4 linked regions of the Drosophila melanogaster genome follow. The protein of the gene in region 4 interacts with the protein of the main gene of each other region in a pairwise test. Each region holds a gene or a part of one and is shown on either strand. Other genes may lie near its edges. The genes, in order: CG7139, CG12496, FoxP and CG7352.

What was found.
Region 1: the proteins of CG7352 (region 4) and CG7139 interact in a two-hybrid assay, tested with the Drosophila melanogaster proteins (one large-scale study listed by BioGRID).
Region 2: the proteins of CG7352 (region 4) and CG12496 interact in a two-hybrid assay, tested with the Drosophila melanogaster proteins (one large-scale study listed by BioGRID).
Region 3: the proteins of CG7352 (region 4) and FoxP interact in a two-hybrid assay, tested with the Drosophila melanogaster proteins (one large-scale study listed by BioGRID).

What each region holds. Positions count from the first base shown.
Region 1 is NT_037436.4:22,066,642-22,073,544, forward strand, and holds CG7139 (uncharacterized protein), read right to left. Parts: upstream 5,208-6,903; 5' UTR 5,011-5,207; intron 4,915-5,010; 5' UTR 4,886-4,914; coding exon 4,127-4,885; intron 3,522-4,126; coding exon 2,735-3,521; intron 2,555-2,734; coding exon 1,264-2,554; intron 1,207-1,263; coding exon 1,134-1,206; 3' UTR 629-1,133; downstream 1-628. Other genes in the region: CG14561 (uncharacterized protein), read left to right, coding at 1-76; CG7133 (uncharacterized protein), read right to left, coding at 6,634-6,903.
Region 2 is NC_004354.4:2,408,772-2,412,717, forward strand, and holds CG12496 (uncharacterized protein), read right to left. Parts: upstream 2,131-3,946; 5' UTR 2,026-2,130; coding exon 964-2,025; 3' UTR 594-963; downstream 1-593.
Region 3 is NT_033777.3:9,725,300-9,732,819, forward strand, and holds FoxP (forkhead box P), read right to left. Parts: upstream 5,574-7,520; 5' UTR 4,135-5,573; coding exon 3,596-4,134; intron 3,538-3,595; coding exon 3,360-3,537; intron 3,304-3,359; coding exon 3,126-3,303; intron 3,067-3,125; coding exon 3,022-3,066; intron 2,937-3,021; coding exon 2,860-2,936; intron 2,793-2,859; coding exon 2,691-2,792; coding exon of another isoform or gene 2,628-2,690; exon of another isoform or gene 2,319-2,627; coding exon of another isoform or gene 2,109-2,318; exon of another isoform or gene 1,852-2,108; intron 1,715-1,851; coding exon 1,271-1,714; 3' UTR 721-1,270; downstream 1-720. Other genes in the region: hyd (hyperplastic discs), read right to left, coding at 165-226; alphaTub85E (alpha-Tubulin at 85E), read right to left, coding at 6,030-6,851, 6,980-7,504.
Region 4 is NT_033777.3:8,345,847-8,349,881, reverse strand, and holds CG7352 (uncharacterized protein), read right to left. Parts: upstream 2,164-4,035; 5' UTR 2,119-2,163; coding exon 1,258-2,118; intron 1,204-1,257; coding exon 664-1,203; 3' UTR 586-663; downstream 1-585. Other genes in the region: DppIII (dipeptidyl aminopeptidase III), read right to left, coding at 2,528-4,035.

The sequences.
Region 1 (6,903 bases), on a different chromosome or scaffold from region 4:
CGGCAAGGAGAACCAGTCGCCGGGAGCGCGAGTCTCTGACCCGCATTTACCCTCGCCACTCAAGGACCCCACCTAGTGACCGCAGTCCAGCCTTCCCAACCAAAGCCATGGAGCCCTCGCTCAGACTGCCATCGATGTTCTAGAATAAGTTACCATTTACCTGAATGTATTGTTCACACCCAGCGGTCAGCAGGTGTACACCCAGATGTGTATCCTCGGCTGATCCTTCAGTTTACCTAAGCTTCGTGTCACGCGTTTTCCGATGTCAGGCTAAAAGATTTTGTAGTGGTAAATAAAGATTGTCGTCTTTCCATGTTTCAAACATTAAACCAAGGTTATGCTCTTCCCTGCCGGGCAGATGGTCCAGGTAGGCAGAAGGAAGGTTTATATTGCTCATAGAACAGACTGATCAGCGGTACCTAGAACTAAACCAACCACTATTGTAAACACTGGAAAGTTCGATGGCTAATTGACGGATCTAGGCATACATTGCTACTACGTAATTTGTAGTACAAATTGATTTTCGAAGCCAGTATGTTTACAACATATTGTAGAATGTTCGATGTAACAGTTTGAAAAATAAAATATCGTACTACGATGTTCGTTTAAAAACTTGTCTGAATAATATCCTTCTCACGTTTCGATTTATTTATAAAGAAAATGTCAATATTTGCTTATTAATCTGAAATGTAATGGTAATTTTTGGACCTCGTGTACCTTAGGACTACTATTTTTACACTAATCCTATTGTACCTAGGTAGTACATTGAGTAAACTAGTATAAAAATAAGTAATTCTGTGATTAGGTATATTATTGGAAGATACTAAATCACTACTTTCCTGAGTCGCATTGCGAATTCGCGTCGTACACAAACTCTACGCTGGAAGCATTATTCAAACTTAAAAATAATTGGGACGAGCATTGAAAGTAATATAGAGTAATAAAATCGGGAATGTTTCATAGGTTATAGAACACATTCGAAAGTAAAACAGCGACCAGGACAGGGGAAAATGATTACTTAACTTTACAATTTTGTAGGCAATTACAAAAGTTAAATAACACTTGCTTTTTTTCTATATGGCAGTGTGAAACGCATTTTGTCCAGCAAGTCCTGTCGTGCGATTCGCATCCAATCAGAAGTTCTTTGAATGACGCGATGCTGAAAACACCTTGACGCGCAGCAACCCTGGATTAACTTCTTGCCATCTGAAATAGGTTGGTGAATAATTAGACGACTTTTAACGAAATATGCCCCTTACTAACCGCAAACGGCGTTCGCCCAGCCTGGCCTTCACCCTGTTCTTAATGGTGGACACTCCGTTTGCGCTGTGAAGACCACGGCCCGTGATAATGAATACGTGCTTGTACACGCGGGTGGTGTTGCGCAGCACAGTTATGTGGCGGTCAAGGAACAAGTCCAGGCAACTGATCGCCTCTACCGTGTGTAGGTAATGCAGGTCTAGCAGGTCCGGGTTGTTCTGGGTGTGCCGATGCACCTCCATTATGCAATTGGCCGCCCTCTGGTTGAATACGTCGATCTTCTGCTTGTGTAACTTGGCTATCTCCGAGTAGTATAACGCCACGCTACTATTGCCGCGCTGTACCGCCTGTTTGGCCTTTAGATAGCACTCTGCTTTAAGTTGGGAGTGATGGGCGGCCATGTTTCGCGTCTCTTCAAAGTCGCGAAGAGCGGCGCACTTGACCTCCTCTTGCAGTTGGGGCGACCGGCCAGAGGCGTACGAACTGGAGCTGGAGCGCTGGCCTTGGCCGGAGGAGTTATGTTGCTTTTGTTGCTGCTGCTGCCGCCGCTCTTCCAGCGCCATTTGCTCACTAAGCTTTTCGCCCTCGCGAAGGGCCTTATCATAGAGTTCCGCTTTGCTCAGCATACTCTTAACGTTGCTGTCCAAGACCTCGACTGTTTGAACGTAATTGCTGCCGGTTGCGGCAAAGACCTCAAGCACAGTGTCGGTAGGAACGTCCGGGAACGTCTCGCACAGCTTCATCTTGGTTAGGTGGGTAGCTATATCGGTGGGCGTTTGTTTGCGAGCGGTCAACTCGGCTGCCTTCTTGGCGGCCAGCTGCTCGCTATTGTATATGCTCCAGGCCAACTCCATATCCAAAAGCTCAGCCACGTTGCTCGGAGACTCGCTGCAATCGGCGTAACCTGGATGCTTGAGCAGGCGGGCGAACTGCTCGTCATCGCGCATTGTCTGCTGGCGTATCTCCTCTAGCTGGTTAAACACAGCTTCCATCCATAACATGTAAAGCTGCTTGGCTAGCTGACGCGGCATAAATATTTTTGTTGCGGTGGGAAGCTCCTGTTCCGGCGGCAACAACTCGTCCTCCGTGTGGAACTGAGCGCGCAGCTGCTCAATTAAAGTGCCGCCCAAATCAATTTCCAGCAGAGTATTTTCTTCAGGGTCCTCCTCCTCCTCCTGCTCTTCAAGCTCTGGTTCCTCGGGTGCTTCCAGTAGCTTAGGCACTGTAGGTTGATCCAGGATTCCATTGCGAATATCGCGAATTTTACGGGTGTGCTCCGAGTATTGTTCGTCGCCTAAAAATCAATAATCATTAGTTATTATTAGTTATTTAATATTAGTTAGCATCAGATATCGAACTCGAATCTCTAACATAATATAATGGAAATACATTAAATTCATTAGTGCCGTGAGTGTTAACGCAATATAAATAATAAGTTTATTTTTAATTGACTCCTATTAGAACAATATCTTACCTAACACAAAGCAATTCTGGATTTTCAGTTGCAACTCTTTGTTGGTGGGGGCCGATGCTCGTTTGTTGCGCGGTTGACGTTGCGGCTTGGATTCGGTCTTCGATACTGGTAAAGTTGGTGAGGCGCAGATGGGAGTTGAAATCGGAGATTCCTGGGCTTCAACCGCCTTGTCGCAGTCGCATTGAAACTGCGCCGCCTCCTCGCTATCGATAGTTTCTTCAAATCCGATTTGATCCGAACCAGTGGCCGCGTTGAGCTCGTCCTCCTTTAATAGAATATCAACGGCCCAATCCACGTCGGCCTGGCACTTTACAAACAGATCCCAGAGGCCGGCCAGCTGTTTGTTGGGATACATCTGGCGCAGGTGTGCAAACCCTTTCGGTTCATTTGGGCAGTCTAGGCTGTGCATCTCAAGAGGCTTTGCCCCGCTAGACTCCGCTTTCGACGGCACCACCTTTATTTGGTTCTCTTCGCGGAGCAGATCAATAATAGACAATTCGCTCTTTACGGGAGCTGCGGCACCCAAAGCATCCGGAATTTCCGGAACTGTCGCGTCGCCTGTGTCTACTGAGTTCACTGTTTGCGACCAGTATGAAGGCGCTCCGTGCTCGTAGGGCACCCACGTTTGGGCATTAGCATTCAGCTTAAAGGCATTTTCCGCTGGCGCTGGGACTGGGGCTTCCAGCAGCTTGCTCTCTTCAAAGCTCGTGATGATAGGCACGGCAGGAAGGGGCGGGTGATTGCGTAGTTGCGGCAGCTCCACAGAATACTTTGTCTCCTTCATTAACTGTCGCATAAAATATTCCGGTAGAGGATGTGAAAGATACAAACTATAGTAAGTGCCATTACTTAATAAGCTTCGGGGTAGAAAATAAAATACAACCAAGAACGTAATATACCAAAAATTTACCAATAAAAAATGAAAACGAGCTAGTTGCCTCAAATTGTATGTGTATGTGGCTAGACTGCCACATTCCGATCCTCGGATATTCGATACCCGTCTTCTCTCAGCTACAAAAAAGCGACTGTTTCTCAGATTGCCAGCGACTTTCTGACTGACCATGGTATGCCCTAAAAAATTAAGTAGCCAACAAAAAAGGCCTCTACTATGTTTCTGCAGGTGGTCTGAATGTTTTTCGCAATTCAAAGGAAGTTCGCCGGAAAAATAATGAAATGCAAAGAAGCAAAATTGAATTGGTCAGTGATAATGATTAAGAATAAATATATACCTCTTAAAGATTTTTTATCGAGCTTAGTTAAACGTTTTACACTCGCGTAACGGGTATACAATTACACATTTTTGGCTGACTCACAATGAGATTGCAGTTAACAATAAATCTCTATCTTTATATACATATGTATGTATATAGACGATTTAAAGTGCCTTCTTACCTGAATGAGCTCTCCCGCAGTCGTCCGCTCGAATCGCTCTAGCATGCGCTGAATATTCTCCCGTGGGACGTTGTGGACGTTTTTCTGGGCCAGTTTGCTGGCAGACTTGCACCAACTAGTATTGGGCTCGAGAAGCTCAATTACGTAACCGTGGCGCACGGCGAACTGGACATATGGCTGCATCTCCCAGACCATTGTATTGGTGTTATCCACGATGATGGGGCTCCAGCCGGAGGCGGCCTTATCGCGCACTCGCTGCTGGTTCCACTCGTGGGCAGCTGGCAGCAGAGTGGGGTTGAAGACATAGCCGCGGCGCGTCTTGAAGTAGTCGTCTGAGCTCAGGACAAAGTCGCGCACCTGGTGTCGATCGAGTAGATGCGCCTGGCGCAGCAGAGACTCTGCCAGTGTACTCTTACCGCTGCCTGAAGGGCCGCGCATTATGATCATCAGCTTATGGCCCGCCTGCGCCCGCTGGCAAATCGAGTTAAATTGTTTGTTGCTTTGGTTGCTGTTCAGATTGCTGGCGGGGCACATTCTAATGGAGCTTGGGGCTTCAGCAGTTGCATATTTCCTGTGAGTTCCACCGCTCTTGCTGCGACCGCAATTGTTATTGTCATTATTATTATTGTTGTTGTTGTTGTTGTTATTATTATTATTATTATTCTTATTATTATTATTGTTGTTGTTGATGTTGATGCGGTCCAACAAAAGCGCCAAATCCGCTGGTTCAGCTGAATGCGAGCTTCGCTCTGTCGACATGGCGTTTGTTTTCCTTTTGCTAGCTTGCCCTGTGAAAGCAGATCGTTTAGGGGGGATCGACCAACGTAATGCGCAGTAACCACAGACACCCCATCACCCAATTCGCATCTGAATCTCGGACTCACCAATATCTGACCAGACTGTAATCCCCCGATGTCGTAACTGCGCGTTGATGTCTCAATCTCTCTCATTCAATCGGTTGTCATGCAAGGATCAACCTGCGGGCTGCAACTTCGTTTGCTTGTTTCCAGAAATCGGGAAGCTATGCGTCGCATTACATCCGTTAATTCGCTGCATTGCAAGTTGGGAAAACCACGTCTGTGCGGAGGCTATCGATGGAGGAGGCTATGGTCACGCGTCATCGATAAGCAGCAGTGCTGGCGGCCAGCTTTTTTCAAGCCAAGCTATTGCTTCGGAATAAAATCGCTAAGTTTTTGGATTTTTTTTTTTAATACTATGAAAACATTATGTTAAGCACATAAATAAGATTCTTAATATGATTATGATAAATGTTATAAAATAACATGAAATTATAACGTCGTTATCACGTCCGTCCGTACGAAATCCAATATCTCGGGAACTTTGAGAGCTGTTAATTGGGTACTAAACACCCGAATTCTAGTTTCGCTTACGCAGCAAAATATAGTTTTTCTTCCGATAACATAGAAATGGAATTGTGAACAGAAGAAGAGAAGGGAGAATGCTATAGTCGAGTTACCCGACTATAAGATACTCAGTTAGTAGTGTGCGAATTTCATAATTTTTCTGGAATATCGATCGATATTGAGGAAATGTGTGTTATCTTTGTATGGAAAAACATCGATAAATAAATCGTGTTATCTGTATATTATTTCGCACCAAGGACATATTGTTGTTTAAAGAAAATAAATACGTCTTTCGTTTCTACATTTGCCATCATATTTTATTGAGATACCATTTACTCAGTTAGTAGTGTGCAAATTTCATTAATTTTAAGAACATTTTTTAAAATTGTTTAAAAGTGGGAATGTTTTGGGCGTTTTGCTGGTGTAAAGAGGGACGTGGCAAAAGTGTTTTTGATACAGATGGAAATTGACAAGACACACAATAAAACGAAAAAATTAAAATATAATGTATATAATAATATAATATATATAATAATATGTATAATATATATATATGTATATATATATAATATAAAAATAATAAAATATAATATAATAAAATATAATTATAATAGACAAATAAAAAATGAAAAAAATATCTTAACAATTTGGACAGTTTTGGGCGGCTTGTGGGCGTTTATTGGGCGTGTTAACATGGGTCAACAAACTTGCGCTGCGTCTATGTCTCTATAATCGCTATAATTATTCTTAACATTCTAGCTTTCAAAGTTCCTGACTGGACAGGGCACATATTCAAAAATAAGTGGAATAAATAGTCGATACCGAAAAGGGACATGGAAAAATATCTGTATTTCATATTTCGCACTGCTATTTCATTGAACACAGCTGTATATACATAACCAAATCCGATGCAGAGTATGAAAACAATATTTTAGTCCGAAGGTATAAAAATTTTATTTATTTGAATTTTTTTTTGTGTGTATGCCATATCGTATTCGATTCTATTTTAACCCTATTTCTTTAATGCTTCTTGATTAAAAAAAGCAAAACATGTTTCAGGATATACCTTTAGATTGAGGCGGAGCTGCTCTGTCTGAGTTGCCTTCTACGCGTTTTTAGCGGAGTCACCAGATATGGAATTTTTCAATTTTTCAAGCTTCCTTTAAAAGATTGTAGTCTTTGGAGGCGTCTAAAGGTGGGACTAATAAAGCGCCCGGCCAAAGCGCGCAAATACGAAGATATTTTGGAGCATGCATACATCAAGGCAGCAAGGGTATTTTTTGCTGCAGATGACCAAACTGGTCTGGAGTTATGAACCAAACCAGCAATGGTTGCTGGTGTTGCCTTCCCCCATTTCGGTGTAGTTGCCCAATTTAGAAGAGAGCGCAGATATGAAACCGCTGAGGACCAAAC
Region 2 (3,946 bases), on a different chromosome or scaffold from region 4:
AGTGGACCAGCTGTTGGCTGCCTCTGACTTCTTCTTTTCTTCTTGATTGTAGATCCCGGGGCGTGCCATTGTACCTGTCAGGCATTCAATTATTCCCAGTTCCCAACCTGCATCGCCGTTGTTTGTTTTGGTCGCCTGGAAAAGCAAAGCAAATCGCTTGGTCAAGCAACTGTGTAAATATATGTTGTACGTATCGGCAGGTCAAAATGCAATCGGCACGAGCTGGGATATTGCGTAGGTGACGAAGGTCACCGCAGATGTTTCGCATTCATCAGAAAACTCGATGCGATGCTATGGCACAACAAAAATGATATTTGTTCGTATCTCGAAAATAGTTCAGAAACCAACTATAAACCTAACATTTAAAGAGTAGATTCCAATGGATACATGAGAAAACATTTCTAGACTATGAAGATAGTCTAGTCTTTTTCAAATATCACCATTTTGAAATCAATACAATCCCATATCCCTATATTGGGCAGTACGCATGGAAGTAGCCAAAGTTACTCAAAAAAGCGACATTAATGATGATAAGCTGATATATAAAGTTTTCCCCGTTTCAAAAGAAAAGAAAAGTGTACTCCATTGTTTTTGATTTAATGCTTTTATTTTGAAAAAATAATTATTTGGGTAACTTAAAGTAGCAATAAATATTCATATTTGTTTAAAATTAAATAATGAAAAAAAAGGTATATTCGAAAACTACATAACAGCAGCAAAAAAAAAAATGGTTATATTAGTAATTGGAATAAATAGTGATTAAGGTGGCCTAAGAAATTATGTACAGTAATTGAAAGATGATTAGTTTACGACTTAGGAACTAGTTAAGCGTCATAGTTAAGCGTTTTCCCCCCGTTTGTCAGCGTTGCTCGCTTTCTCGTCTCCATCTTCATCTCCATCTCGCATTTAGTTTCTCTTCTCATTTTTGTGGCTTTCCGAGGATCTGTTTGAAATTACCTCTGCTCAGACATATATAGACGAGGGCAGGGCCAATCCCACCTCGAAGTAATTGCGCTCGTCGACCTTGTAGCGCTTAATGGGGGACTCCTTGGCGACGATCTCCTTGCGGGTCCTCTTCAGGGCCTTGACTGGAGTCTCCAGGCAGAAGGTGTTGTCGCAGGGGGCAGACTTGGGGGCCACTGGAGTGGCCAGTTGGACAAGCAAGTTGTGAGGAATCTTGGCCAGGGGCGATGCCGGTTCCGGAGTGGGCATCAGGTTGTGCATGGGCAGGGGAACCAGGCCAAAGCTCAGATCCGAGGCCGGATCGTCTCCAGGTGCGTAGGATGGCGACAGCACCTCCTGGGGGCAGTTCGACTCCATTTGCTGCTTGACCAAGGTGCGTCTGCGCAGATTGAAGGTGGACCTTCTCGGCTTCTTCTTGCTGCTGGCGTTCGCCTTGCAGGCGGAATCCAAGATGGCATCGATTAGGCGATCCAAGGTCTGATCACCCATCTGCGTGGAGGCGGGCTGCGGTGTGCTTGGACGCACTTCCACCTTGGGGGTGGGTGGCTCTGGCACTGCCGTCTCCTGCAACTCCGGCTCCAAGGTGGCCACAAAGTCCTCGTCCAGTCTACGCTGCTTGAGTTTGTTAACTCCTGCACCCGAGCCTACAATATAGCGCGGCTGGCCCAGAAAGGGATCCAACGGAGCCAGGCCCCTCAGCGCCAAGTGCTGACCACTGGGCAGTCCGTTGGGCGAGTAGTCCTCGGCAAAACGTGGCAATGTGGTGGCGTATCGCACACTCTGTACCCTTTGGGGCGCCTGACTGCGCACCACCGCCTCCGGGGTGACATTCCGGATATCGCTCAGCGGCGCCAGGACCAGGGGACTGTTGCGCAGCCGGGTAATGGGCACTGGCGTGGAGGTGTAGCCCACGGTGTCAGGCACGTTCTCCTTGTTGGCAATGGTGGCCCTCCGCTGACGGCGCTGCCTCCTCTGCAGCCTCCTCCTCTGCGGCTGGTTGGCATCCTGATCGTGCACGGGAATCTCGTTCAGGCGCTGCGCCGATGCCGTCCACTTCAGCATGTTGTGTGTGGTTCTGTTTCTGCTGCTCCTGGTGCACAAAAAAAAAAGATGTACTTCTAGACTCTGCTAGTCTTCTGCTCTCGACCGCTCTCGCTGACAAACTGAAGCGGTACGGGGAGCGGGCTGCGTTTTATACCCGCTCGGCGCTCAGGGGTTAATGGCTAGGGGTTACGGGGCTAGGGGTTGTTGCGCAAGAGGCACCCCGGCGGGCAGAAGGACACTCGCTCTCTCCGGCGTTCTCTCCTTGGATGAAAAGACTCTCTTTGGCCAACGGATGTGTGTGGTAGCAAATTGTCTTTGGATCTCGAGGAACTTGAGCAACAAGCTCGAGGATATCAGCAGCTTAGCTTAGAATATGAAAGTATGATCTCTATGCCAACGAGATCTGATATTTTGATGGAGGTATTGGAGGTATTCGTCCTTTCCCACAGTTCGCAGTACCGGCCGAGAATCACCCACTCCAATCCAGGCACTCATCCACAGCACCACCACACGAAAATGACATCTAGATGTCTATCGGCCAGCGCTTGGTTATTAAATTTGCTTTCATTCCCCTCAAGGAAGTCTGCTTCCTTTCGCCCTTGTCTCCCCCTCATTTGAATGGACATTTAGAGCAGCAACAGGCTGGAAAATAGTGAACGGAAAAGGGAGAAGGGAAGTCAGGTTGGCCGGCTAATTAGCCGATGCCAAGTCCAACTTCCTGGCCGACAGCTCCTCGTCATTTTAGCCACTTGTCGTAGCGCGGTATCAGTATTAATTGCGGCTCTTTAGCGGCCGCAAATGCAATTTATATACTCGGCGGCTTTAATTGAAAATGTTTGCCACTTCCGGAAGGAAGCATTAGAAAAACGTTACAAACTCTGGGAAAAGTCCTGTGCAAAGCGTCAGTTGCTCACCCAACAGGGGAAAAGTTTGTACACAGTATGCATTATCAAATTATCAACTTTTTAATAAGTGTTCTTTCTACAAATAGATGGGCCTCATGCAATGCAAATTCACAACTTGTATGGATTTAACTTTGAAATGTAAATGTAAAAGGAAATGGTTCCCATAACCTTTGTAGTGATCTATATTTTAAAGCACAGCCGCTGTCCTCCATATGAATATGAAATATGGAACCAATAAGTAGATTATATTTCCGATGACAAGATCAAAGATAACTGCCCCCATATGTGGCTCTTGACCAGCTGTAGATGAAGTGATCATCGAGATCCCTGAGTGATCTTCAAGTGATCATCGACCAGCGATCCTAAGTGACGTTCAAGTGATCGGCGCTCGTCATCTCCTGGACTTGGATCACTCAAAGTGTCCGTGACCGACGTGGCTTGCTATCTGACGTTCTGATCTAGTTCAGCATGTAAAGGCATCTTTGAATGGGTTCTGGTCCCCTGGAGATATCTTTATTTGCGATCGATTGCTGAAAGATTTTCGCTAACGGGGATCGTATATTTCGCACGTTATCCTTTTCGGCTTTTTTGTGGTGAAAGTCGTTTTGTTTCATATGTTTTCATGTGACTATCTTCCGATCGGCTTTCATCCTGGATAGGGACACAAAAAGGGTGCTGGGGTAGTTAATCGATTACCCCGTTCCATCCACTGAAATGGCGAATTTCTCAACTTTTCAACTCTTTTTCAACGTTTACTTTGCGAAATGCGCTCCTGCTTTTGCTTACTTTTTACCTCTTTTCCCTTCGATTTGCCCTCGTTATGTCCCCGAGTCCTTCGATTCTCTTTGTGGCGCTGAGTTATTGCTGTTTACACAGCCGCACAAAAGGATTAAATGGGTTTTTGAGAGAGTTTCCAGCGCTAAGAAAGGATTCCGGCATGTTGATTAATATGATTTAACGAGCATCCTGCCTAACAAGGCGTATCCCGGCTAGTCTTCACCGGCAATTTCCACACAAAATTACCATAATCCTCG
Region 3 (7,520 bases), 1.4 Mb from region 4:
TCGCGTTTTACGTTAATGATCATATGTACATATCTTCCTGCGTATACATATAGCTGCGTACCTACATATTTTCACATAACAAATACATGCAGCCGTACGTACACAATTACACGGAATTCCGCGTTCACATGTGCGTAATTGCGGTACGCGAGGATTATATTTACCTTTCAATAAACTGATCGTCCGAGCCCGGTAGCGGTTGCAAAACAAATTGCATGGAAACCATTTTAATTTTTCAACTATTCATGTACACAGTGTCCTCGTTGAATTTTCATGTCACAAAACGTTGAGAGACTTTCAGAGTGACCGTACTGGCTAGAGCTGGGACGAAAACCGATGCCGCCCGACTGTATCGATGGTTGCCGGAAAATTCGACGGTATCGATACATTCTCCAAACAAATTTATTGGTAAACAAAAACTTTACTTTCAAATTAAATTGACATTGACTACAATATGTGTACTTAGGCTGTATATATTTTATTAAATTTAAGATACAGAAGTTCACGAATGCGTCCATTCTTATCGGTTGTTTTTCCTTAAATAGTGGCAGTCCAAAAAATCTCCAATAGAATATACTAAAATATACTAAAGACCGCTTTAAAATAATGAATTGGTAGAAAACTTTGATTGACAAACTTTTGAGAAGCCGATTTAACCGCTTTTACGTCGCGTAAACCGTTTGCTTAGGAACTAGAAATAAAATTCAGTTTGTTCACTTTGTTGTATATTTGAGGAATTTATTTAGGTCACTGAGTATCGTTAATGATCTTAAATTAGAAGGAAATTAGATAAGTCAGCAGAAAAGCATATACGTTTACTAAGGAGTTTCCAAATCTAAAGCTCTCAAGGGTCCAGATTTTTAACAGAAGGTATACCTGAAAATAGTTTCCTTAAAAAAAAATCATATTGTGACTTTTAAAACAGTTTTGTTAAAATTTTATCAAGCTATAGCTTTTAAATGTTTTCTCCCTTGCTGAAAAGTGAAAATATTCATATATGTTGTACTCGTATATTAAAATCGTGTTATAAGTGGAGTTATTAAAGCAAGTTTAAACACATTAATTTTGCTTTAATAATTTAACGTAGTTCTTTCGTTTATTTTATAGCATTAGTGAAATTTATTTTAAAAGTATTTTTTCATTTCTATTTGGGAAATTATACATAGAACCATGTGTATGTACAGATATAATTTCCGAATCCGAACCTTCTTACCAAACGCAGATTACTCGACAATGCATCTAAATATATGTATAGTTAATGATATATTATTTATCGATTGTGCTCATTGGCACTACTCTCGTACATATTAGTAGAATATTCATCGATTGTCAAGTGGCTGTTACTTTCGATCATACCCGAGTCCATATTGCTATAGTCCTTGGACGCTTTACTTAAACCATCACTACCGCAATAGGGAAGACAACCAATTCTGCCTAAATCATTTGGATTATTGGAATCTAGAGGATTATCAGCACCCGGTGGCAAACTAGTGCAATGTTGCGTACAATTGTCGCAGGGATTCTTATCAGTGGGCACACCATTGCCGGATTGGCATGAATTTGGGGAGGAGGACGGTTCATATTTCCGGGGTCTCCCTCTCGACAAGTGCCGCCTTTTGACAAACTCATTATCGTCGACCATCCAAAACGAGCCAAAGTCATCTTCATAACGTACAAAGCACTTGTGTAAGGAAAGGTTCGTACGAATCGCATTCTTTATGATTGGTTGGACAAAACAAGAGCCCCATCAAGAGTCAGAAACAGGAAATTGCATTATCGTGAAAGGAAGAAAAAGTTCATTGAGATATTAAGGTTAGTTCATTTGTCTTCGGTCTTCTTATTTTCATTTTTCATAACACGCGAAATCCTGGATAATCTTCATCAGCTAAATTCCAGACAGACAGACAGACAGATCGATGAGCAGACGGACATCATTTTGGGTTTCTACCACTAAGAGATTAGAATCACTGTTTACAATTTGCGCTGTAAAAAGATCGTATAATGTCATATTATATCATTTCGATATAGGAGCATGCATGCAATGGCATATGTATATTTACTAACAGAGCAAAACGGAAGGAGTTTGGAGCAAAGTGAGTAGAATTAAACTATTTGAGACCCACATACCCAATGTTCATGGCTACAAAATAGTTAGTGTCCGGCGAATTGGTAGCACCGGTTAGATTGTTACCAATGCCAGCAGTGCGCTGCGGTCGTCTTTTGTAAAACTCAATCTCATCGACAGTCCAAACTGCTCCTTTCACATTCTCAACCCGCATAAAGCACTTATGAAGGGACAGATTGTGCCGGACTGCGTTCTAATGATATATATTATCAGTTAGCATAGGCCAAACTTAATTTGATTATTTTAAGACATATAAAAAGGAAATGGAATAAAACAGGATCTGACCTGTGTAGCTTACCTTGTTATATATCACTTGTATTTAGCTCTATTATACTCTTAAATATTGGCAAAGTAGTGGACAATGTGGAAAAGGTAGTATATAGTATATATACAGCGGACAAGCTAGGAACGCCAATCGGACAAACGAGAGTTATACGGACGGACAAATGGTCATATCAGATCATAGATATCATATCATATAGCATAAATACTCAAATTAAAGTTATGTTGCATAATATATAGATAATATGGAGGAAAGAAGATTTACATATATGGGGCATTTTACCTTCCACGTAGCTGCGTTGCGCCGGAAGTAGCAAAATGTGTTTTGGAACCAGTTGTAGATTTCGTTTAGGGTTAACTGCTTGTCAGGGGAGTCAATTATAGCCTATAAATAAAATATATATAAAAAAAATAAATTAATGTTATATTAGGAAATTGGTTTTTAAAATTACCTGTCTTATGAGGGAAGCATAAGTAAAAGGCGGTCGTACATCAGCATTCTTATAAAACTCTCTGTTTCGATGGATTTCTGCAAATTTAAATTCTTATTATATGTCTTCCAGAAGCACAAGACGAATAGTCATCAAGACGATCAGTCTACATAATTTACTTACCCTGTTGCACATCAAGACCTGCTCTTTCAAGCATATAGGGTAATCCTATATCCAAAAACCATTATTATTTTTATACAGTAATAGTAAATTTTTCCCAAACTTACCCCCATTTATGGAAAATGTATTTTTGTCGTGGTTTCTCTTTTTGATCGAGCACAAGTTGGTGGAATTAACCATTGGAAGATTCAGAGGACTCGGTGAATTTGTTTGTCGGATGGGTCGGCCTATGCTATTTACGGTAAGCGGACTCCGGCAAAACTTTCCCTCTCTTCCGGGCACGTCCTTATATTTATAACTTTTCATTATACCAATACTTACTCACATAAAAAGGGACTTACCTTCCTGTCGATTTTGGTGGGAGACAAAAGCTGCTTGGACAAATACAAGTGATGCATCATTGCCTGCAAGCGATCTCGTTCTTTTTGCAGGTGGGATTCCAGCTGGGAGACAACTTGCATTTGAACCCGTGCCTGTGCTGTTGATCGATCGTCCAAACCATGTTCCGTATTCAGATGCCTAGTTAGATAACATACCCTATATAATTATTTCATACCTCTAATTGTACTCCACCTACTTGACAAACGATGTGATGTCTTCCAAATCCATTTCGCAACCAGGCCAACGGCATATGCCATGAGCAAATAACGGATGATAGTACTTCCGCATGGCGAACTCATCGTGCATATAGCTGAAATCATTGTTGCACACCTCATTATCCTTCGACCGCAAGAATCTCTCTGCATCGGAGAACATGAGCTTCTCCTGCTCGGATATGAACTCGGGCACATTGTAGAAACCCAGATCGGGAACGGGAGCCATCATATGCTGACCCTGTATATGCATGTGTGGATTGGATTCGTGCTGCTGGGCCGCCGTTGAGGATTCATCGATGCTCGAGGCCGGTGAGCTGCACTTAACTACATGTGAGGCAAAGGTGATCGAGTTATTGAGAAAGCCAGTCGGCGGAAAACAATTGTTCTTAACAGCATCTGAGCATATGTCTGGTATGGAAATTTGGTGTCTCGACTTCACTGATATCTCCTTCTGAATCGAACTCTTAAAGTCCGATTCCTTGGCATCCTCGGAATACTCGTCGTCATGTATCCGATGCATGTTTTTAAAACTGAAATTTATAATCATTACCATTGATCCTTTACCCAAGAGATGGGCATATGCAAATACACAGAAATAATCTCTTTTTCGTCTGTCATTAGGAGTCATTTCAATAAAACTATCTTTACTCATATGCCGCCATTCCTGTAAAACTCCGAATCAGAGTGATAGTTTAAGGATTTCTATTTATTACGCCCTATTTAATTTCAGCTTAATTTTCCCGCACTATCATTGAGATGATACTTTCCCCAAAAGTTATGAATATTTAACAACTTGGCGCATATAAGATTTAACCCCTACTAAAGGCCCAGTGCTAAATGAATTCAGTGTAAATTAAATTAAACATTCTTTAAATGTTTGATTTAATTTTAAATATGTTACAAATAAAATGCCACGTCATCCGGTGCAGTTAATCTGTAAATATAAAGGTTATTCATAGAAAGCATTTATCATATTTAGGCGTATAACAAGTTTAAGATCTCACAAGGGGATTGCATAGGTGGCAAGGAAACCAGACACATCTTATTTTGCTAAAAAGAAACATATACAACATACATAACATAAGAAACATACAGACGGAACGGTCGGACAAACGGAAGGACATACAAACGGACGGACAAACGGACGGACAAACGGACGGACAAACGGACGGACAAACGGACGGACAAACGGACGGACAAACGGACATACAAACGGAAGGACATACAAACGGACGGACAAACGGATATAAAAACGGACGGACGTTTTGGCTATAGGATGAACTTAAATGGAAGAGTATATGAGTTTTGCAGATAGGACCATCTTACGATTGTTTTAATCAAATTCCTGTAATGAAAAATTATATAGCCACCTAAAATAAGAATAAATGTAAATGGTGAAATATGTAAGTATTAAATGTTTTATAGGAAAAGAAGAAAGATATAAAAGAGAAGAGAGAGGTATGGTTTTCATCACATTCGAAGATCCTGAAAAAATAGTATTATATTCGATATACATAAGCTTTTTGTGTAAAGGCGAATAAAGATAAATATATTGTTGGTATTGTGTAGATTTGCATTGTCTGTATTCGTTGGGGGCATTGATTATTCCAAGGGGTATATATGGGTAAATAAAATATTCATATTTCATATGTATACATATCATACAATTTCTGTATAAGAACTGTTTAAACTGGGACTTTTAAGATAAAGTTGTCTGCCTAGACTACTCAACAATATCTTAATTAACTTAACAGACTAGACTTAAATTTTGCGAATACATACATGCACATACAATTTTGCAGACAAAAGAGGATACAATTTTGCATGTACATTTACAATTAAATAACATTCACAGAGGTTTCCAAAGAACAATATTATATTTAATAACGGGCGAATTTTTTAATACAACTTTTCACATATATGTAAAATTAATTTAAACTTAAAAACTATCTTAAGAATATTTTTCGCTGCTACTCCTGAAAAGGTACGTCTACGACTACTGAATTTGCTAGAAATATGTGTACACATTTTTGCGCATGCGTTTCAAAATGCATCCTAAGGCTCCATTACACGTAACGATTTCAAAAATTAAAAACTTTTAAAAGTCAACATTAATTTGCCCAATTAATATTAATATTTAAAGCAATAAGAAAGTGATAAGTAGGGTTTTTTACGGAGGGGTAATTTCCAATAAATATATGATTTACCAATTTCCTTATATGAGAAAGTTTTATTCTTATTAACACAAAAGTTAAATTCCATCTAAAGACGAATATTTCCCATTTAAATAAGCCATTTTAAGCAATTGTGTTAAACTGTTTTATTGCGAAACTGTTTTATGCATTGGTATTTGGTAGAAAGAAAGTGATGTTTATAAAGTTGTAATGGCTGTATCATTTGTTGACAACGTTTTCTCTAGTATTCCTCATCTTCCCCCAGTTCGGTGGTGGAGTCGATGCCTACCTCCTCGTAGTCCTTCTCGAGGGCAGCGAGATCCTCGCGAGCCTCGGCGAACTCGCCCTCCTCCATGCCCTCACCCACGTACCAGTGGACGAAGGCCCTCTTGGCGTACATCAGATCGAACTTGTGATCCAGACGGGCCCAGGCCTCGGCAATGGCAGTGGTATTGGACAGCATGCAGACGGCGCGCTGCACCTTGGCCAGATCTCCGCCAGGAACAACGGTGGGTGGCTGATAGTTGATGCCCACCTTGAAGCCCGTGGGACACCAGTCGACGAACTGGATAGAGCGCTTGGTCTTGATGGTGGCAATGGCTGCGTTCACATCCTTGGGCACCACATCACCGCGGTAGAGCATGCAGCAGGCCATGTACTTGCCACGACGCGGATCACACTTGACCATCTGGTTGGCCGGCTCGAAGCAGGCATTGGTGATCTCGGCCACGGTCAGTTGCTCATGGTAGGCCTTCTCCACGGAAATGACGGGAGCGTATGTCGCCAGTGGGAAATGAATGCGTGGGTAGGGCACCAAATTGGTCTGGAACTCGGTCAGATCCACATTCAGGGCGCCATCGAAGCGCAACGAGGCCGTAATGGAGGAAACGATCTGGCCAATTAGGCGATTGAGATTCATGTAGGTGGGTCGCTCGATATCCAAGTTGCGCCGGCAGATGTCGTAGATTGCCTCGTTGTCAACCATAAACGCACAGTCCGAGTGCTCCAGCGTTGTGTGGGTGGTTAAGATCGAGTTGTATGGCTCGACCACAGCTGTGGACACCTAACAGGAAGTTCGATTATTAGATTGCCTTTCGAAGACTAATTTCCCATGTCTTTTACTAATTATGTTAATTGGTCTTCTATAAATGCTCAAGCAATAGATATAATATCCATATGCAAATGACATACTTGTGGTGCTGGGTAAATGGAGAACTCCAGCTTTGACTTCTTTCCATAGTCCACGGACAGGCGCTCCATCAGCAGCGACGTAAATCCAGAGCCAGTGCCGCCGCCGAAGGAGTGGAAGACCAGGAATCCCTGCAGACCCGTGCACTGATCCGCCAACTTGCGAATCCTGTCCAGGACCACGTCGACGATCTCCTTACCGATGGTATAGTGGCCGCGGGCATAGTTGTTGGCCGCATCCTCCTTACCGGTGATCAGTTGCTCCGGATGGAACAGCTGGCGGTAGGTTCCTGTCCGCACCTCATCCACCACAGTGGGCTCCAGATCCACGAACACGGCACGCGGCACATGCTTACCAGCTCCAGTCTCGCTGAAGAAGGTGCTGAAGGAGTCATCGCCTCCGCCCACGGTTTTATCGGAGGGCATATGGCCATCGGGCTGGATGCCGTGCTCCAGGCAGTAAAGTTCCCAGCAGGCATTGCCGATCTGGACACCAGCTTGGCCAATGTGAACCGAAATGCATTCCCTCTGGAACAGAGTTTAT
Region 4 (4,035 bases):
CAAGATCACTCCCGTTAACATAAAATAAAACCAGACCAGCGTCAGCTAGCACTCGCGATAGTATCGATAGTCCGATAATGGGCGTGTTAGGGATGTCTTGGTTTCGATATTGCTCGGTACCACTGATTTCGAAAAGAAGCTATTCACACACACGAGCTTCTGCACCAGCGACAAGCTTCCGCAGCACTGGCTTTATCTTTTATAAAAAGATATATATTGGTATACCAGTCAAAATAAACGTATATCTAAACATGTATTTTATGAAAGTTATGTTTTTTGAATGCAATTAGTAAGATGCAAAGAAATAGTTAGTAGTCAATTTGATATAAAATTTCAATTACAGATAACATTTATAGTATTTTTGATTGGACTGCATAAACACTTTCGCGGCAATTATGAAGCGGTTATTAGGCCGAGCTTTCAAAATAATATTAAACCAAATTGAAACAGCAGATGCGCATTCTGTGAGAATATCCTTTCAATCGAGGTTTCCAATCGAGCAAAACAACGAACTGGCAGCACAGGCGACGGTCTGGCATCTTCGCTAGCCTAAATGATACACGTCACGTAGACACAACGGCGCTTAATTTTAAATAATTTATTTTTGGAAGCCAAAAATAAACTTGACCGTCTTAGAATTACAATTTGGAACTATGCCACTGACTAGGAATCGCCACCGCCCCGTGCCTGAGCGTCAATTAGGCAGAAATGCTCCCTATCCGTAGACTTAAGGACATGCTTTGGTAGATATCGAAGCACGGAGGAAGGAACCTGGCTCAACATGGCCAAACGCTCCTGTTTGATGCGTTCCTCTTGCTCGGCATCGATCTTGGCCTTCATGTCAAAGTACTGAACATTTTCAGCGGTGGCCTCCGCCCGCTTCCGGTGATTATCCTCAATCATAGCAAGCAAGGAGGCTCCATGGGCCCGGCGTCTGCGATATTCATCCAGTTGCTTTTCGGAATTCTGGTTGATTGTATCCGGCGCCTCCTCCTGCCGCGTAGCCATCTCCGCCCGCTTCATCTGCATTTCGGCCATCTTACGATGCTTCACCTCCTGTCGATAGCGATCCAACTCCTGTCTGGTGCGCTGGCGAGACATCTGCTCCTGCTGCATCTGTTGGCGATAGCGCTCGTCACTCTTGGCCGTGTACTCCGCCTCCAACAGATCCAGCAGCAGATTGTCGCGATGCCGTTTTTTGTTCTGCAATAAGAGTTAGCTTTATTGATTGAATCGAAAAACCGCTTCAAGACTTACTTCGATTTCTAGGACTTGCTGGCCCAAACGAATGCTGATTTCTTGTTTTTTGCGTTGAATCTCCTGGCGTTCAGCCTCCAGCTGGAGTTTCCTGCGCTCCATGTCACTTTGCTTCTGGACTAAGTCACTCAACTCCTGGTTGTATTGAGCTCGCTGCCATTCTCTGAGTTCCTGGTTCTCCTTGATGGACCGCAGCATGTCCTGTCGCTTTTGTAGTTTTTTTCTCTGCGCCTCCAGCTCCTGGGCTCGATCCTCTTCCTGGATTTGCTTCTGCATCAGAAGGCTCAGCTCCCGGTCATTCATCACCTGAGCGTGCTCTTGCAGGCGCCGTCGGCGGTTCTCCTCCATTTGTTCAGCCAAGGACTCCCTAAGGCGGCGTTGTTCCTCCTTAAGAGCCACTTCCTTCTCACGTTGCCTGACCTCCAGCAGACAGCGCTCTTGGGACACTTCCGCGGCTTCCAATTTGATGTCTAGCTGTCGACGACGTTTTTTCTCCTCCAAATTCTCGGCTATATCCCTGGAAATGGCGGCTAGGCGCAGCTGCTCCGCCAAGTCGCGCAGTTCCTCGCAATCCCGCCGCAATTGCTGGCGACGTTTCCTCTCCACAAACTCCGCACGCTTAAGATCTTGCATTTCCTGCGTCATCGCTGCCTCCTCGATGAAGTCGCGGGTTATGGGACTCACTTTGGAAAGCTCCTGGCTGCGGCTCACCTCCTCCAGGTCGTACTGCAATTTTCGGAACAGCTGTGAGCTGAAAAAGTCGTGCTCCTTGCGCAATGAATGAGGCACCTGGAATAGCGGCTGTCCGATGTTGATAGTGCCACCTTCCTTGTGGTTACCACGATTTCTACCGGTTGCCATGGTGGTCAAAACAATGCAAACAGAAATGGAAACGAGAAACAAAATAAAAAAAAAAAAACCAATATTTATCGACTGGCTACTATGAAAACATTCAATGAACAAATTGTAGTATTTGATTTTATATTTACATTCTTAATTGTGGAGCTATTATGAGCAATATACATTTGGTCGCAATATATGTATGTACATACAAGCAATTAAATTCAGGTCCTTTGTCAATATTTTCGGTGAATGGCAAAAACGATCTTAAAATCACCATTCACTACGAAAGTTTTACTATAAAAGCAATTTAAAATTTAAAATTGTTGGTCATTAGATGACTATATATATTTTTATATATTTTTTTTCAAAATCATAGTTAACAAATTGAATTGATAATGAAGGCGAAAATGTTAAATGCGAAATGTTCTCAGTTGTTGAAGGCAGTCGGGAAATACTTCTTGTCCTTCTCCACGATGCTCTCCAGAAGATCGTCGATGTCAGTGTTGGGGTAGCGCTCCACCCATGACTGGATGTACCCCTCGTGGGTGGGCTCGTAGGTCTTCAGCTGGACCTTTTGGTCCTGGCCGATCGCCGTGTTGGCCTGGACGAGAATCATACGCGGCTTCTTGTGCGCCAGGCAGATATCCCGCCACTTGGCCCACGGATGCGATCCGCTCTCGTCGACCTTCGAGTAGTGTTCGTACATCTTGGAAGCTGCCTCGATGTCGGCGGTGGATTTGTACACCTGCAGCTTGGTCAGGAAATCGCCCAGCGCCTTCCTGCCCACGGTATCGATCTTGCTGCGATCCACCGTCAGCAAAAGGTTTTTACCCTTTTCGGTTTCCTCGACCTTAACGAGTCCTTCGCCTGCCTCCAGCAGCACCTTCATGATCACGAAACGAGCGCGAGAGTGCGCCTGGAGCCACAGCTTGGACTTCGGGTTGAACATTTCCAGAGCCACACCCATGCCGTTCCAGATGAGACTCAGCCAGTTGACATAGATGATGTTGTCCTGCTCGGCTTTGTCCTTGAAGCCAAAGATCTCCAGGATGTCACGCTGCAGGGAGAGATACAAGCCCACCGCCTCGGCGCGGCATTCCTCGTACGAGGAACCAATTGCTCCGAACTTGGTGTCGTAAGTTTCTCCAGGAAGATACCACTTGGTGATGGGTTCACCGGTGACCAGGTTCTTAGTGTTCTCCTTGTCAAAGTTGTACACACCATTTTCGTCGATGCGGAATAGCTTGCCACTACCATGGCCTAGGAGTTCATGGAGGCCCACTTGCACCTCAAAAGCCTTCACCTTGTACTCTTTCATCAGAGTTTGATCCTCCTCGGTGAGGAAAGGAATGGGATCCTTGCGGTTGATGTTGGCCAGCACATTGCCCAGCGAGACGTTCTTGAAGCCTTCATCCTGGCGGATTTCGTCGTAATTGGGAATATTGATGCCCGCTGGTACTCCGCTGCCGGCAAATGTGAGGACATCCAGGGATGTGAAGTCTGGCTTCAGGTAAGAGTCCTTCTCGTAAGGCTCCGTCCAGGGCAGGTACTCTATTAGTTTCTCGGCGCGGTTCACCAGCTCGGAGAATTTGGCCGAGCTCTCCTTGTTCACCATGGCCACGAAGCCCTCGAATTCAGCCCGACCTCCAGCAGGATCCCTGTATGTCTCAATGAAACCAATGTAGGTCTCGATGACAGGTCCCTTGTCCTTGATCCACCAACGCGATCCGTTCTTGTGCTCGTCCAGCGAGCCCTGTTCAAAGGATCGGACATAGTGCTCGATCATCTTGGACTCGTTTTCATTGGCTGCGTATTTCTGGGCCTGCAGCAGATGCTGGTTGACGCGCTGAAGCAGCTTCTGGTAATCACCGCGTGTCACCCTAAACTTGTTGCCATTATACTCTTCCAGCGGAAGTGTGATGCCGTCCTGCGTGG